Arabidopsis thaliana: one gene and its partner. The protein of the gene in region 2 interacts with the protein of the main gene of each other region in a pairwise test. Each region holds a gene or a part of one and is shown on either strand. Other genes may lie near its edges.

Region 1 (6,336 bases), about 23 Mb from region 2:
CATTTCATGTTTGTGGCTGAATTTCCGAAATTACATCTTTAAATGTATGTTTATGATTTCGCTTCACTTTCTTTTATCAGGTGCGGTTCCTGGCACGGTCTTTTGCAATCCCTGGGAATCATCTTGGGCAGCAAAGTCATGGTTACCGTTGGCCTTATGGTCCTGTAAGGCATTCTTCCTAGATGGTTGTAATTGGTGAGAACTCTGTCTGTGCTTTGTTTTGAAATCATAGATTTGTAATGCAGGTAACGATTGTTACACCATTTAATTTTCCACTTGAGATTCCACTACTTCAGTTGATGGGGGCATTATACATGGGTAACAAACCTCTTCTTAAAGTGGACAGCAAGGTATAAATTACTCTTCACATTACTATAGTTCTCGTAATTGTATTGGTTCCATCTGTTTGATAATATAATGTTATTTGATTAGGTAAGCATTGTTATGGAGCAAATGATGCGATTGCTCCACTATTGTGGTTTACCCGCTGAAGATGTGGACTTTATAAATTCTGATGGGAAGACAATGAACAAGATATTGTTAGAGGTATTTGGTCAGGAATTCACAAGTCTATTGTCTCCACAGGGTTTTTAGTTGAGCTAATTCAGTGTCTTGTCGATTTGTAACTTCTTTCAGGCGAACCCACGGATGACCCTCTTCACGGGTAGTTCTAGAGTAGCTGAAAAGTTGGCACTTGACCTTAAGGGTCGAATCAGATTGGAAGATGCTGGATTTGATTGGAAAGTCTTAGGACCAGATGTTCAGGAGGTTTCTTATTATACCCTTCCGTATTTGTATTTCCACAAGTCTCCTTAAATGTGATTGTAACCCTTGTTTCGGTCTCTAATGTCAGGTTGATTATGTTGCATGGCAATGTGATCAAGATGCATACGCGTGCAGTGGACAGAAGTGTTCTGCACAGTCTATGCTTTTTGTTCATGAGGTTGGTTTGATCCTAATTGTTATGGTGAAACTACCTTTGAATCTTTTGTTTACTTCCATTTTCTTCTGTCTTTGTTGTTTTCAATGTATTTTCTCTCTGAGCAGAACTGGTCAAAAACCCCTCTTGTTTCCAAATTAAAAGAACTAGCGGAAAGACGCAAACTGGAAGACTTAACCATTGGTCCTGTCCTTACAGTGAGTTTCATTGTTTCTCCATCTGTTGTTAATCATCTGATGAGATTGTATCATTAAAACTTATTTTTTCATTATTGTTTCAAGTTTACAACTGAGGCAATGTTGGAGCACATGGAGAATCTGCTTCAGATTCCTGGCTCAAAGCTACTCTTTGGTGGCAAGGAATTGAAGAATCATTCGATTCCTTCAATCTACGGAGCTTTGGAGCCAACTGCAGTTTATGTTCCCATTGAAGAAATCTTGAAGGATAATAAAACCTACGAACTCGTCACCAAAGAAATCTTTGGACCATTTCAGGTTACCTTGATATCGACTTTATTAGCTTTGTCTAAATGATCTTGTGTGTTTCTTTTACTGAAACGTATAGTGTTGTTTCTGTATATGATATCCAGATTGTAACGGAATACAAAAAGGATCAACTTCCTCTAGTGTTGGAAGCATTGGAGAGGATGCACGCTCATCTAACTGCAGCTGTTGTTTCAAACGATCCCATCTTTCTTCAGGCAAATCTTTTCACAATTATCATCAATCAATCTCTTATTCTCTATCCCTTCGATATTGATGTAACAAATCTGTGCAGGAAGTAATAGGGAACTCAGTGAATGGGACTACATATGCTGGACTAAGAGGAAGAACAACTGGAGCTCCTCAGAATCACTGGTGAGAGGAAAAATCACACTCCCAAATTAAAGTATCTATTTCTATTTCTTTGAGGAAAAGTTAAACTATCATATAAACACAGGTTTGGACCTGCGGGGGACCCGAGAGGGGCCGGGATAGGGACACCAGAGGCTATAAAGCTGGTTTGGTCATGCCACAGAGAAGTCATCTACGATTATGGTCCGGTTCCACAAGGTTGGGAACTTCCTCCATCTACTTAGAAGTGGTGTGTCCACTAATAATTAATAAACTAAGATCTTAGTGTGCTGTTGCATCAAATAAATATGAGTTTTGTAGTTTTATCTCTACGAGTAGTTTCCGTGTGAGGGAATAAGAGCTTGAAACATGAAGTTTTCAACGACGTTGACTTAGTCAAGGGGTAGAGGGATTAAGACAGAGAGAGAACTATTGTAAAACTCAGTCCACCAGAAATTTTCTTCAGCTCAAAGCCAGACAATAATACAAATGTTTTTGAAAGAAGAAGAGTGAAAAGAAAAACAAGATGATAACTTGTTAATGTTCTCTTCATTAATAATGTTGCTAAGACCCTAATCTAATCGATCTTAAATAATCTAATGAACAGTTTTTTTTCATCACTATCATGGGAAAACAATAGAAAGGGACTCTACCAGTCCTGATCATTTTGGAGTTGGTAAACAGACAAATACAACCATGGTGATTGTGTCCTTGAAACAAAAACGCCAAAGTGATCTGCAATGGAGATTTAGTGTTGTACTTTATGTCCACAAGCTTTGATGATGTGAACTAGTAACTTGTCTCCGGTTATGCTTCTGACTCGTTGGATTAGTTCGCTCCGTGTAATTCTCCTATTCTGTTAAATCCAAAGGAAAGCAACAATTAGAATGTGAAATGAAATCACCTCAAAAGATAATTGAAGAGGAAACAAACAAAAAAAAACACTTACTTGTTGATCTTTGTAATGTTTCTGAATGACAAGTATTTGAGAAGGAGGTAGAAACTTGGACAATGCTTTGATCAATACAGGAAATGCCATCCATGGTGATCTCAATCTCTTTGGACTTCCTGCAAAAACAGTTATAACTATGTCAAAAAACCATAAACAAGAACAAGAAAAACTCAAGATTAGAGATTTTGATTTTGCTTACGAGTTAGGTTAAATGGAGCTTTGATGCAAACAAGAAACTCAGGCAAAACATGAGTGTTCATGTGTGTACTCCACACAATATACTTCTTCGTAGAAACTAAATCATCCACACCAGAATCAAACTCTGGTGAACTTGGACATGATCTAGTCGAGCCTTGAGGAACAATCTCTGATTTTCCAAGTAGAACTCTACAAAGCAACAAGAATCTCATCCCATCTTCTGATTCTGAAGCTGAATCCTTCAAACTAATCAAACAAACAAACACCAAAAATGAGATTTTGAGACCAATGAATTTCGAAAAATTGAAACTTTTAGAGATTTAGAGAAACTTACCAATCAAGAGGAGAATTATCCGGCGAGAGATACAATCCACGGCCAAAAGATCCATCATTCCTCAGCGGCTCGCTAAACCCATACTCAAAAATCGTTTTAAGCTCATGTTTCGAAACAGAGCACCAACCGTATTTCACCTTAGCTCCACCGTCTCCACCGTGTTTCATCTGCACCGCCTCTTGAAAAACCTGAAAAGTCTTGAGCTTTGCACGAGATCCAACGTTCCTAAATCCGTTTCTAAGAACAGAGAGAATCTGACATTGATCACCAAGACCAGATTTACAATTACGATAGATCAAATCATGAGCTTTATCTCCTTCAAGCAACTCCATAAGCCCAAGCTCGTCAGCAAAAGATCGATCAGAAGAAGAATCGCAGCTTCCAGATTCAGAGATGGTTGATCCATCTTGCTCAGAATCATCAAAAACAGCTTCGACTTGGGTTCTCACGTAATCCATTGAAAAATAGGAACTTTAGAACCGAATGAGAAAAGAAACTTTATAAAGCTTTTGAATTAGTATTTTGTTACTTGAGAGAGGAAAAGAACTTGAGGTCCAAGTTCATATTTATAGCTATGACTTAAGGAAATAATTACACATATGGAAAAAAGAACCGCCTTTTGTTTCTGTTACCGTCGGTTTTGCAATTTTTATAAATATCAAAAACTCAGAGTTTCTTGTCTTTTTCTCCGTGGAGAAGACGTAAACAAACATTTAACAGCTAAATATCTTTCTTATTTTATTACATAATAAATACTTTGGTTAAGTTTTTGTAAGTTGCGGCCGCTAGCTGTTTTTTTTTTCTTTGAGGGGTCTATTCCGTGTTGGAGTTCGTTAAGCGGGTTGGTTGGTGTGAAAAGACGAAAATATCCTTTGGATCAAGTGGGGCTTTTAGGTAGAAGCGGAAATGACGAAGTTACCCTTTGCTTGTGGACATCGAGAATGTGTTGTATCGCGTCTTTCTTAGTTGAGAGGACACGACCGACACACGTAACACGTTTTATACGTAACCAATTTCAATTTCTTAAATGAATTTTAAGGTCAATATTATTTTAGTTAGAATCACATAAGTGTATAACTAAATAAATTAATCGACAAACAATGTGAATGTGTGTGATTACAATGAATAGGTTAAATTAGATTAGTATAGTTAAACTCACCGAAATCGTGTTTGACTTGTATCATTGCAATCAAATGTCTTTATACAAACTTATTTACTAACAACATATCGTCTTCTAAGTATGAACTCTTAATTTTCAACAAATTGAGATTCGTATATGTTTCAAAGTCATATTATAAGCACAATTAAGTCTTGTTTAAGAAAACGCATAAGTAATCAAATTGATTAAAAAACATATTGTAAAAAAATCCTAAATTAATCGCAATGAAATGGTAAATAAATTGGGTTTTCAATAGGTAACTCTGTTTATTTTTGAATATTTAGAAATAATCCCGAAAGAAACTTGATTCAAATGAGCTTACCGCTAGCGATATCCAAATATTAGCTAGAAATGACTTTAATCAATTTTTTCTTTTTTTTTACCTTAATCATAAATCATAAGCATGCATGTTTTTTAGAATTATCTCATTCAGAAGCCCATACATGAATCAATGATAATTTGTTATTGAGCCATACTTCATTTTATGAACGATATAAGCCTAGTAAGAACATTGCGAGACAAATAAAAACCAATCCGGTAATCTTTCAAATTTAGGAACATACCGTATATATTGGGTTTCGGTTCATTTTTAAAACCGAAGAAAACCGGTTAGGGTAAACTTTCTTTTCCTAATCAACAAAAGGAAAACTGTTGATTAGAGACGATCATCGTCCTCTACTTTATAAAACTGTCACAACCCTAGAATTTGGATATACAAGTTTGTAGTAGTAGCCATGCGTTTGTCTGTAGCTCTGATTTCATCTTTTCAATGGAAGAAGAGGTCTTCAAAGGCGATTATGAGAAGAGGAAGAAAAAGAAGAAGAAGAAGACAAAGAGGAGAAGATTTTTTTGTGGCACCGGAGATTCCTTTGGATCTACTGATCGAGATTCTGACTAGATTGCCTCATAAATCGCTTATGAGGTTCAAGTGCGTTTCAAAGCAGTGGTCTTCTCTTATCCGTTCCCGATTTTTTAGCAACCGTTATCTTACGGTTGCATCTCCACTGCGACCACATCGTCTATACATTAGTTTGGTGGACCACAAGTGTGATTCAAGGGAGGTCTGCCACAGCCCCCGCGAGTCTGTACTGCTATCATTCTCATCGCCTTCTAGTTTCGACCAAGATTTGACGACCATGCAAGGGATGGGAGGACTACATATGGTGACTCTTCGTGGCTTGATTTTATACATTGTTTGCGGAAAAGCGTGTCTCTATAATCCCACCACCAGACAGAGCGTAACCTTACCCGCCATCAAATTCAACATTTTTGTCCAAGGAAACGAACATAGTCTCCTCTACTTCTTGGGGCACGATCCTGTTCTTGATCAATACAAAGTAGTTTGCACTTTTGTGTCATCATCCTCACAAGATTTGGAAACGATAATCTCGGAGCATTGGGTCTTCGTACTGGAAGTTGGAGGTTCTTGGAAAAGAATTGAGTTTGATCAACCTCATACTCCTACGAGATCTGGACTGTGCATCGGTGGAGTTATATATTATCTTGCTTTCACTAGTATGTTTCAGGATATCGTTGTCACCTTTGACGTTAGGTCTGAAGAATTTAACATTATCCAAGCGCCTCTTGTGTTGTCTGCATATGTTGACTCTCTGGATTTTATAGAGTACGGTGGGAAACCAGCTATTTTTTATCATACTAGTCTTAAAGAAAACGGTTTGGTAGACTTATGGGTCTTGGAAAATGCTGGAAACTGGTCGAGGACAGTTTTGAGTTTGCAGCCTTGTCAGCTGCATTTAGTTGATAACGACATTCCATTGACGTTAGTAGACACAACTCAAAACGGCGAGGTTGTCTTGGTACCAAGTGACTTGTGTTCCCCTTTTTACATTCTCTATTATGATATACAGAAGAATCATCTGAGGAAGGTTGAAATCCAAGCAATGCCGGACCATAAGAAGG
Region 2 (7,653 bases):
TTGGATTTCTTTTGGAAATCGAACTTCATGGGCTCAACTGGATTAGGGTTAGAAGAAGCTAGTGGCTTGTGTGTCACGGGATCAATGCCATCATCGATTAAACGTTTCTTGAGATGTGTGTTCCAATAGTTTTTGACCTCGTTATCCGTTCTTTTTGGCAAATGTCTAGCTATGACAGACCACCTAGTAAAATAAAATAAAAACACAGGGTACATATATATCAAAACATTGATGATCATGTCTTCACTAAACTGATATGAGCACAAACAAGCCTAGAGAAATGCCATACGTACTTATTGCCACGAGATGCATGAAGCATGATGATAATCTGCTCTTCCTCATAGCTAAACTCTCCTCTCTTGATATCTGGTTTCAAATAGTTAGTCCACCGTAATCTACAACTCTTTCCACACCGTTTCAGCCCTAAACTCGAAAAAAAGCAGATAAAGATCAAATGATCAATTAAGAGAATAATTAATACATATTAGTAACAGATTGTGAATAAATTCATATTATAGAGACACAAATGCGTCTATATATAGTTATGTACCAGCTTTTTCTGGAATGTCACGCCAGCCTCCTTCACCGTGGTCGTGGATATAAGAGATGAGTTTTTTATCCTCTTCTGTAGTCCATGCTCCTTTCTTCAGTCCTTCTCCGATACAATATGGTCTCTTTGACATTTTCTTAGTTATATCTAGAACAAAAGTGCGTATAAGAAACAAAAATCAGAAATAGTACATAATGTAGGATATCAGAGATTACGAATACGGTTATTATTTTCGTCAAGGGTCTTAGTTTTTTTTTTCCTTTGTAATCAAAGATCATTACAACGACAATAGATCAAATAAAACTAAAGAATATTACCAAAAAAGAAGAAGAAGAAAAAAAAGATCAAAGATCTATGAAGTCATTTGTACACGTACGATCTACCTCTTCATATAGTCAACATCACGGTAAGTGTCATGCACTCGTGACAATAAACTTTTAAACCACGTAAACTAATGAATATTAATAGACATGTTAAGCTTATCCGCAGAGGTGGGGCTAGTGTAGAGTTATGGGGGTCAATTGACCCCTATAACATTTATTAATTTTTTGTTATAAGGTAAGTTTTACAATGATTTATGGAAATGGTGTTATCAAAGAATTAAAAGATATGTCACTCATTTTAGCATCTAATTAACGTGTATATATAATATATGCACACACATTTATTACTGCATTATGCATGACATTTATCTACAACACAATAATTATTAATTAATGTTATATGATAATATGCAATTGCTAAAATATACTAAGAAAAAAAAAAAAACATTAATCAATCAAACACCATTTACATCTTTTTACGACCGTTGTTCATTATTTCAATTCTTTGACACCAATACAAAATAAAACTAAAAATGGCAGATAGTGATATTTGTCAAGTCCCTGCGGGAAGGAAATTAGGTATAGTAGCCAGAATCTTGGACGGTGCACGTTTTTCGGCTTCTTTGTCTATCTGCCCATATATGTCACACAGCCTTGCTGTCCCTCTAGTCTCTATCCACTTTTTTTTTTTTTTGTCATTAAATTCAGGTGTTATCATCTAATCTAAAATATTTTCACATTTTAACATGTTTCGTATTGATATCTAAAAACAACCAATTATCGTGTAGAACAAAGCAGTCTAATTAGTCTACTTGGATATCAATCAACACACAAGATTGTGTGCAAAAATCTGTGGTTTTTTTCTTTTCACATCCACTTCTCTCTTTAAGCTTTTTAATGCAACAACTATATCTTTAGTCCCTATATGCATATCATTTCCTAATTTCCGGCTGATAGCTTAATTCGATTCAAGATTTATAAATCTTGAGAATCTTGGCTTAAACACCTTCAGCTGCCCACCTCACAAACTGTCTAGAAAAGAAAATAATTTGGCCTCTAAATTGGTAGCAGATTTTGTACGACATATTATACAAACAGAAGTTGCTTCAAAATTATCTTGTTAATCTTCATCAGTTGGATCAAGTATCATTTCTCTATCTTATTTCATGTTTTTAAATGAAAACCTTACGGAGCATTTGAAGCTAAGGCTTGCACATGTTTAAGGTAGAGAGACTTCAGAACTCTCTGTTTTTCCCATGGAAATTTTGTCTCATAGAGACTGCATCGGATTTTGCCTCTTAACAAAAACACATTGGATCTCATAATTGTTCATCGATCCCTTGATAACTCACTTAAGCTATTTTTTTGTTGGTTAATGGTTACTACTTCTAATATATCCATGAAACTTATCCACAAAAAAGCTTATCGACTTTCTCAGTAGTCAGTAGGGATTTGTTTCTTCGGAGTTTCATATCACCAAAAACCTAAAATGTGTTACATATTTTTCATTGTTTTTGGTAACATGGCTCAGACTGTCAGACAAACTAAGGCTCAAACTTTAAATCAAATGGTTTTAGTACAGTGAACGCTTGCAATCAAATGGGTGTTTTATTTATTATTTATAGTACGTAAATCCACAAACAACAATAGAAGGAAAAAAAACTCGTGTCTCCCGCAAATCAAATACTAATTGATCCACGGCATCACAAGGTTCTCTAACTAAGAGAATCCATTACTGAATATTAATATATAGTGACCCTATAGTGGACCTTTACTATAACTTGACAAATATCTAAGAGAACCATATGACATTAACCGGTCAACTCTAGTCCGGTAAGCAATCAACGGATCATATGAAGTTCTTGTCGTCGTAATCTTGGCTCGTGTCATAATTGAAATCGGAATGGTCAAGGAGATAATTTGACCAACCAGTTATGTTTTGCATCATCTCGTCTTCATCAACGCTTGTTGATGAGACATCAGACATAAGAAGATCTTGGTTATATCCTCCTCCAGTATTGTCAGCTTCTTCCCCTTCGTTGTTACTAAACTGCTCGAGAAACTGCGAGAAATCGTATTCGGAATTGTTGATGCTGATATCTTCTTTCATATGATCAATTATGTGTTCAGATGACTGATAGAATGGATCAAATTCTTCCATCTGAAATTGACTTGTTTCAGAAAAGTCATCATTTAGACATGAAGACAACGGTGTAGAGCTGATCAAGGTTCCTTCGATGGAGGCGCCTAGTATAGTTCCCATGGAAGAAGCCCTAGCTGCAACTTTGTTTAACAGTTTTGATGTAGAACTCGATCTCTTAAAACAACGTTTCTTGGAGCTCAAGGAAGCATCATATTTCGGTGTCTCGTCACTGCTGGTTATCTCCGGTACATTTTTGGAGCTTGAAGGAGGAAGAGACTTTGGAGAGATGGAACCCGATTGCGATTGCTCATCCGGGTTTGAGTCATAGGCAAGTGGCTTGTGGGTCACGGGATCGATTCCCTTATCGATCAGGAGCTTTTTGAGATGCGTGTTCCAGTAGTTCTTAATCTCGTTATCTGTTCTTTTGGGCAAATGTCTCGCTATGACTGACCACCTTTTAAGTAAAACATATATATAAACTTTAATAATGTGTTAATTATATATACCCTTATTTATATGGATTTCGGCAAGCTAGGATTTTACTTGTTGCCGCGAGAAGCGTGTAGCATGATGATAATCTGTTCCTCCTCATAGCTAAACTCTCCTCTCTTGATGTCAGGTTTCAAATAGTTAGCCCATCGCAATCTACAACTCTTTCCACATCGTTTTAGTCCTAAACACCATCATTTGTCATAAAAACAACAATTATAGTTATATATATGTAAAAAGTGTTTTAAAATATATACATAATAATAAAGCACATATATACCAGCTTTTTGGGGAATGTCACGCCAGCCTCCTTCACCGTGTTCATGAATGTAAGAGATGAGTTTCTTGTCTTCTTCGGCAGTCCATGCTCCTTTCTTCAGTCCTTCTCCCACACAACATGGCTTTCTTGACATCTTGTTTTTCTTCTTTTTTTGATATAGATTTACATACAACCTATAGGTAAGAAATAAGAAAAAGAAAAAATAAGAAAAGAAAAAAAAAACAGAATGTCGTCGAGTTTAAGGCAATAGACTGATAGATCTCTTGATGAGAACTCTGATGCATCTGAATATGAAACTGACTGAGAAACTGTGGTAGACGACCGTTGTAGGATTTTGTGTTTTCATATTAAACATTTAAAAGAAAGACTAGGAGAAGATATATCAAAGTTTCAAGACATTGCAAGCTACTACTCCTCCATGCATAATTATATATGTTTATGCATATATATAAGCCTGGCACTCGTGTAGAATGTACTTTTTGAAATAACTTAAATAAGTAATAAGCTTTTTTTAAATAAGAATATCAACTCATCATCAAGAGTACTTTGACCCCCCAAAAAAAAAAAAAAAAAACTCATCAAGAGTGAGTGTTAGTGACAAGATGTTTTTGGAACTATTCAAATGGTTTGAGAGAGACTTATGGAATATTTTCTGCCACTAGATAAATAATCAACATCACAAATACAGTGCCGACCCAAAGAGAAATATCATAAATACATGACAACTTCATAAGTTACCATATATTTTTATTAGAGTTGATTTGATAAAGGGCAATGGGAAAAAATATAATTAGAAAAGAACAACTTCATAAGCTCGAGTACGTATCGACAGAATGTGGGACAAAATTCTGTGCTTTATTTTTTCTATATATAGATTTATAACATATATTTATATGATATTTTCTTAAATAGATATATCTATATTTAACATATTAATAATAATATAGAACTTAAAATAATAGATTATACAAGTATATATGATGAATAGTTGATCAGCTAGATGTCAACGTAGAACTGCAATTTTTTTTTTCTTTTTTTTTGTAAAATAGAACTGCATTTTAAAATAAACTATGTTCCCTTAAATAATTAAATGACATAATAAAAACCGTCAAAAATATTCAATTGATACGTATATTAACAAATTACGAAAATAAACTAAAATTATACGTTGTGAAATAATTGAATGATAAGAATAAAACTGTCTGAAACATGCTTTTTGATCTAGTGAATAAAATAGATTAAAAGTTTTTTTTTTTTTTCGTCAACTAAAAGTTATTTCATCTATTCATTATTATTGTATTTATTGTCATCTAATGCAAATAATTTTCTCTCAGTACATTTTATATCACGTGTGTTCTTTTTCAACATCGGTCCTATTTGTTTGCCACTTTGGGTGTAACACTAACGCTGAATTCAAAATTTAAATAAAGTTATTTTGCTCAATTATTAATGTTCGTTTTTTCTCATCTAATCACATTTCACATCTCGCATCTCAAGTAGTTTCTTTTATTTTAGTTACGCCTCTTCGGAACATGCAGAGTTAACTCAAAACCAAACATCCACACTCAAAATGAAACCCCAAAGATAGCTGCATAAGTTGTAAGAAAAATATCTACAGACAAAATGAACGTAACATTATTTGTTTTATTTGTAACCAATACAGATTCAAACCACTTTAACAACAACAACAAAAAAAAAAAAAAAATTCAAGCCAAAACTCAAAATAAAACACAACATAAATTTATAATCTGTAAAATGTACTATATGTTTTTATTATTTAAGACATTAATAGTGATCGAAAGAAAAGAAAATACATCAATTTCGTATATATTATTAAAATTTGTTCTATTAATCCACATGGAAAATCTTTTGTCGAGTCAATCAACCCATTCAGCCAGACTTGTAAACAGTTCTACTTTTACTTTTTTTTGTTAGGGTTTTACGTTTTTGAATAGTGAGAAGAAAACTTCAATAAAAACAAACAAAATGTTTAAAAATGCCTTGATAAAAAATGGTACGTGTTAATTATAATTACCCACAAGGCCACAACCATCAAAGTGATTTATCATTGATTTTAAATTAATGAATTAATTATTAGATACAAAATCAGTTACTATCTTTCTAGTTACCCTCACTCTAGCTCTCTCGAATTATTCTGTCTCTCTCGTTTATGAATTTTGTTCTAGTTAATCGAAATTTGACGAACAAACTGTTTAAATATTTTCTCATCGAAAACGTAAAGTATGACCATGTGGCGAAAACATTGTTATTTGTGGCCCTACCGAATCGATCACTGATCAAAGTTTGTGGTCTTTCAAACCATTTTCTATATTACCAACCACATGTATTTAAAACTATTGCTATGCATGGCAGCATGGGCCAAACCCAAACGTCGTATATATTGCGATGCTACCAAAGTTCCAATTCATAATTTGGGAAACAACGCAATCGTTGAAAATGGTAAAATTATGTGGCGTACGTAGAATCTCCTTCATTCACCAGCTCCAACCATCAAACATGGCCGACGCCCTCCGGGTTTGGTTCCACTCGAGAGCCTAACAAAGGCTCTGTTTTGAAATCCTTTATACCTCTGTTTTTCCTTGGTTTTAAAATTTTCTGAAACTCAAAAAAACGTTATGCTTAAAGCTGCATATATTGTAACCAAGGACTTTTTTGAATAAATTTTACATTGATTCAAAAAAAAAAAAAAAAAAAAAGACAACCCTCAAATAACAAAAGAGGATCTTTATTTTACTTTTCAAATGTGGGCAGGAAAACTATGTTTTAAAGACTTGCCCCAAATCATGAGTTTCATTTAGTATTAATGATCTTTTGTAATAATTAGTTGGTCAAAATTTTCAAAATCCCCCCAGAGTGCATATTATACCTTAGATATCCACCGACATAACTAAATAGGTGTAGCAATAATACTATATATTAATGATTTTTAGTATGCCTGTTCTATGTTGCTTAGCCTTATATAGGTTGTCACTTTCGTCATTATAAATGCAACTTGAAAATACTATGGCATGAGATTTGTGACAAACGCGAACGCAATGGAGAGACGAGGTCTTGATCATTGGGCTTGATATTGAGCCAATCATTCAAATTATTCACTTTTTTTTTTTGACACCTCAAATTATTCACTTAAACAATAGTTTTTAATACCATTGTGAATAAAATCAAAGATCTAATAAGTTATTGTGAATTTGTGATACACAAGATCAGTATACGATTTCAAAGCTGACTCCCCCTCCCATTCATCATAACATAAGTTATTCGGTAGATTTTACACTTCTTTTTCGGAATAACAAAGGGCCTGATAGAATTAATTACAATGATTGATAGTGGACATGTAGATAAGGAAATATATATAAGAATCATAGTGGACCTAGATAAATAGACCCATAGAACTAAAGCAGTAACAATTTTTGATGGAAAGAAACATAATATATATTTTTAACTACAAAACAAAGTGAAGAAATGATGGAAAAGTGGGGCCTAAGGACAGAGGCAACAATGACAGGCCCATTGACACTCTCATATGAAAGGTTCATGTGGTTCTCCCACTCGTCTATTGCTAATTATTAACTTTATCAAATGCAAAGTATATTTCTCATTAATGAACAAAGTAAACATTACAAGAGTATATATAGTATGAGAGTAAAGTAACAAACTATAACTAACTCTCATATAGGCTTAATACACCCCCCTCAAGCCGAATCCTGTATAGCTTGACCTTTTTGAGGAAGGAAGAGGCTTGACACTGATAGACGACCAAGGATAGACCGAAATGGACCTGGTTGAAGCGCCTTAGTCAGAATATCAGCAAGTTGGTTCTCTGTATCAACATGAAGAACCTTCAAGA

The links.
Region 1: the proteins of MYB29 (region 2) and SRO5 interact in binary tests that used the Arabidopsis thaliana proteins (3 or more experiments, as listed by UniProt).

Annotation. Positions count from the first base shown.
Region 1 is NC_003076.8:25,095,450-25,101,785, reverse strand, and holds SRO5 (uncharacterized protein), read right to left. Parts: upstream 3,843-6,336; 5' UTR 3,716-3,842; coding exon 3,258-3,715; intron 3,170-3,257; coding exon 2,925-3,169; coding exon of another isoform or gene 2,902-2,924; exon of another isoform or gene 2,842-2,901; coding exon 2,723-2,841; exon of another isoform or gene 2,630-2,722; coding exon 2,522-2,629; 3' UTR 2,019-2,521; coding exon of another isoform or gene 1,880-2,018; 3' UTR 1,879-1,879; downstream 1-1,878. Other genes in the region: ALDH12A1 (aldehyde dehydrogenase 12A1), read left to right, coding at 81-164, 246-350, 433-546, 637-768, 854-943, 1,048-1,137, 1,222-1,434, 1,530-1,640 and 2 more; AT5G62510 (F-box family protein), read left to right, coding at 5,151-6,336. UniProt on the Arabidopsis thaliana protein: Probable inactive ADP-ribosyltransferase that may be involved in stress and developmental responses.
Region 2 is NC_003076.8:2,443,355-2,451,007, reverse strand, and holds MYB29 (myb domain protein 29), read right to left. Parts: upstream 4,340-7,653; 5' UTR 3,919-4,339; coding exon 3,786-3,918; intron 3,690-3,785; coding exon 3,560-3,689; intron 3,471-3,559; coding exon 2,723-3,470; 3' UTR 2,424-2,722; downstream 1-2,423. Other genes in the region: MYB76 (myb domain protein 76), read right to left, coding at 1-183, 294-423, 551-683. UniProt on the Arabidopsis thaliana protein: Plays a minor rheostat role in aliphatic glucosinolates (GLSs) biosynthesis, mostly short chained. Together with MYB28/HAG1 and MYB76/HAG2, promotes aliphatic glucosinolate biosynthesis but represses indolic glucosinolate biosynthesis.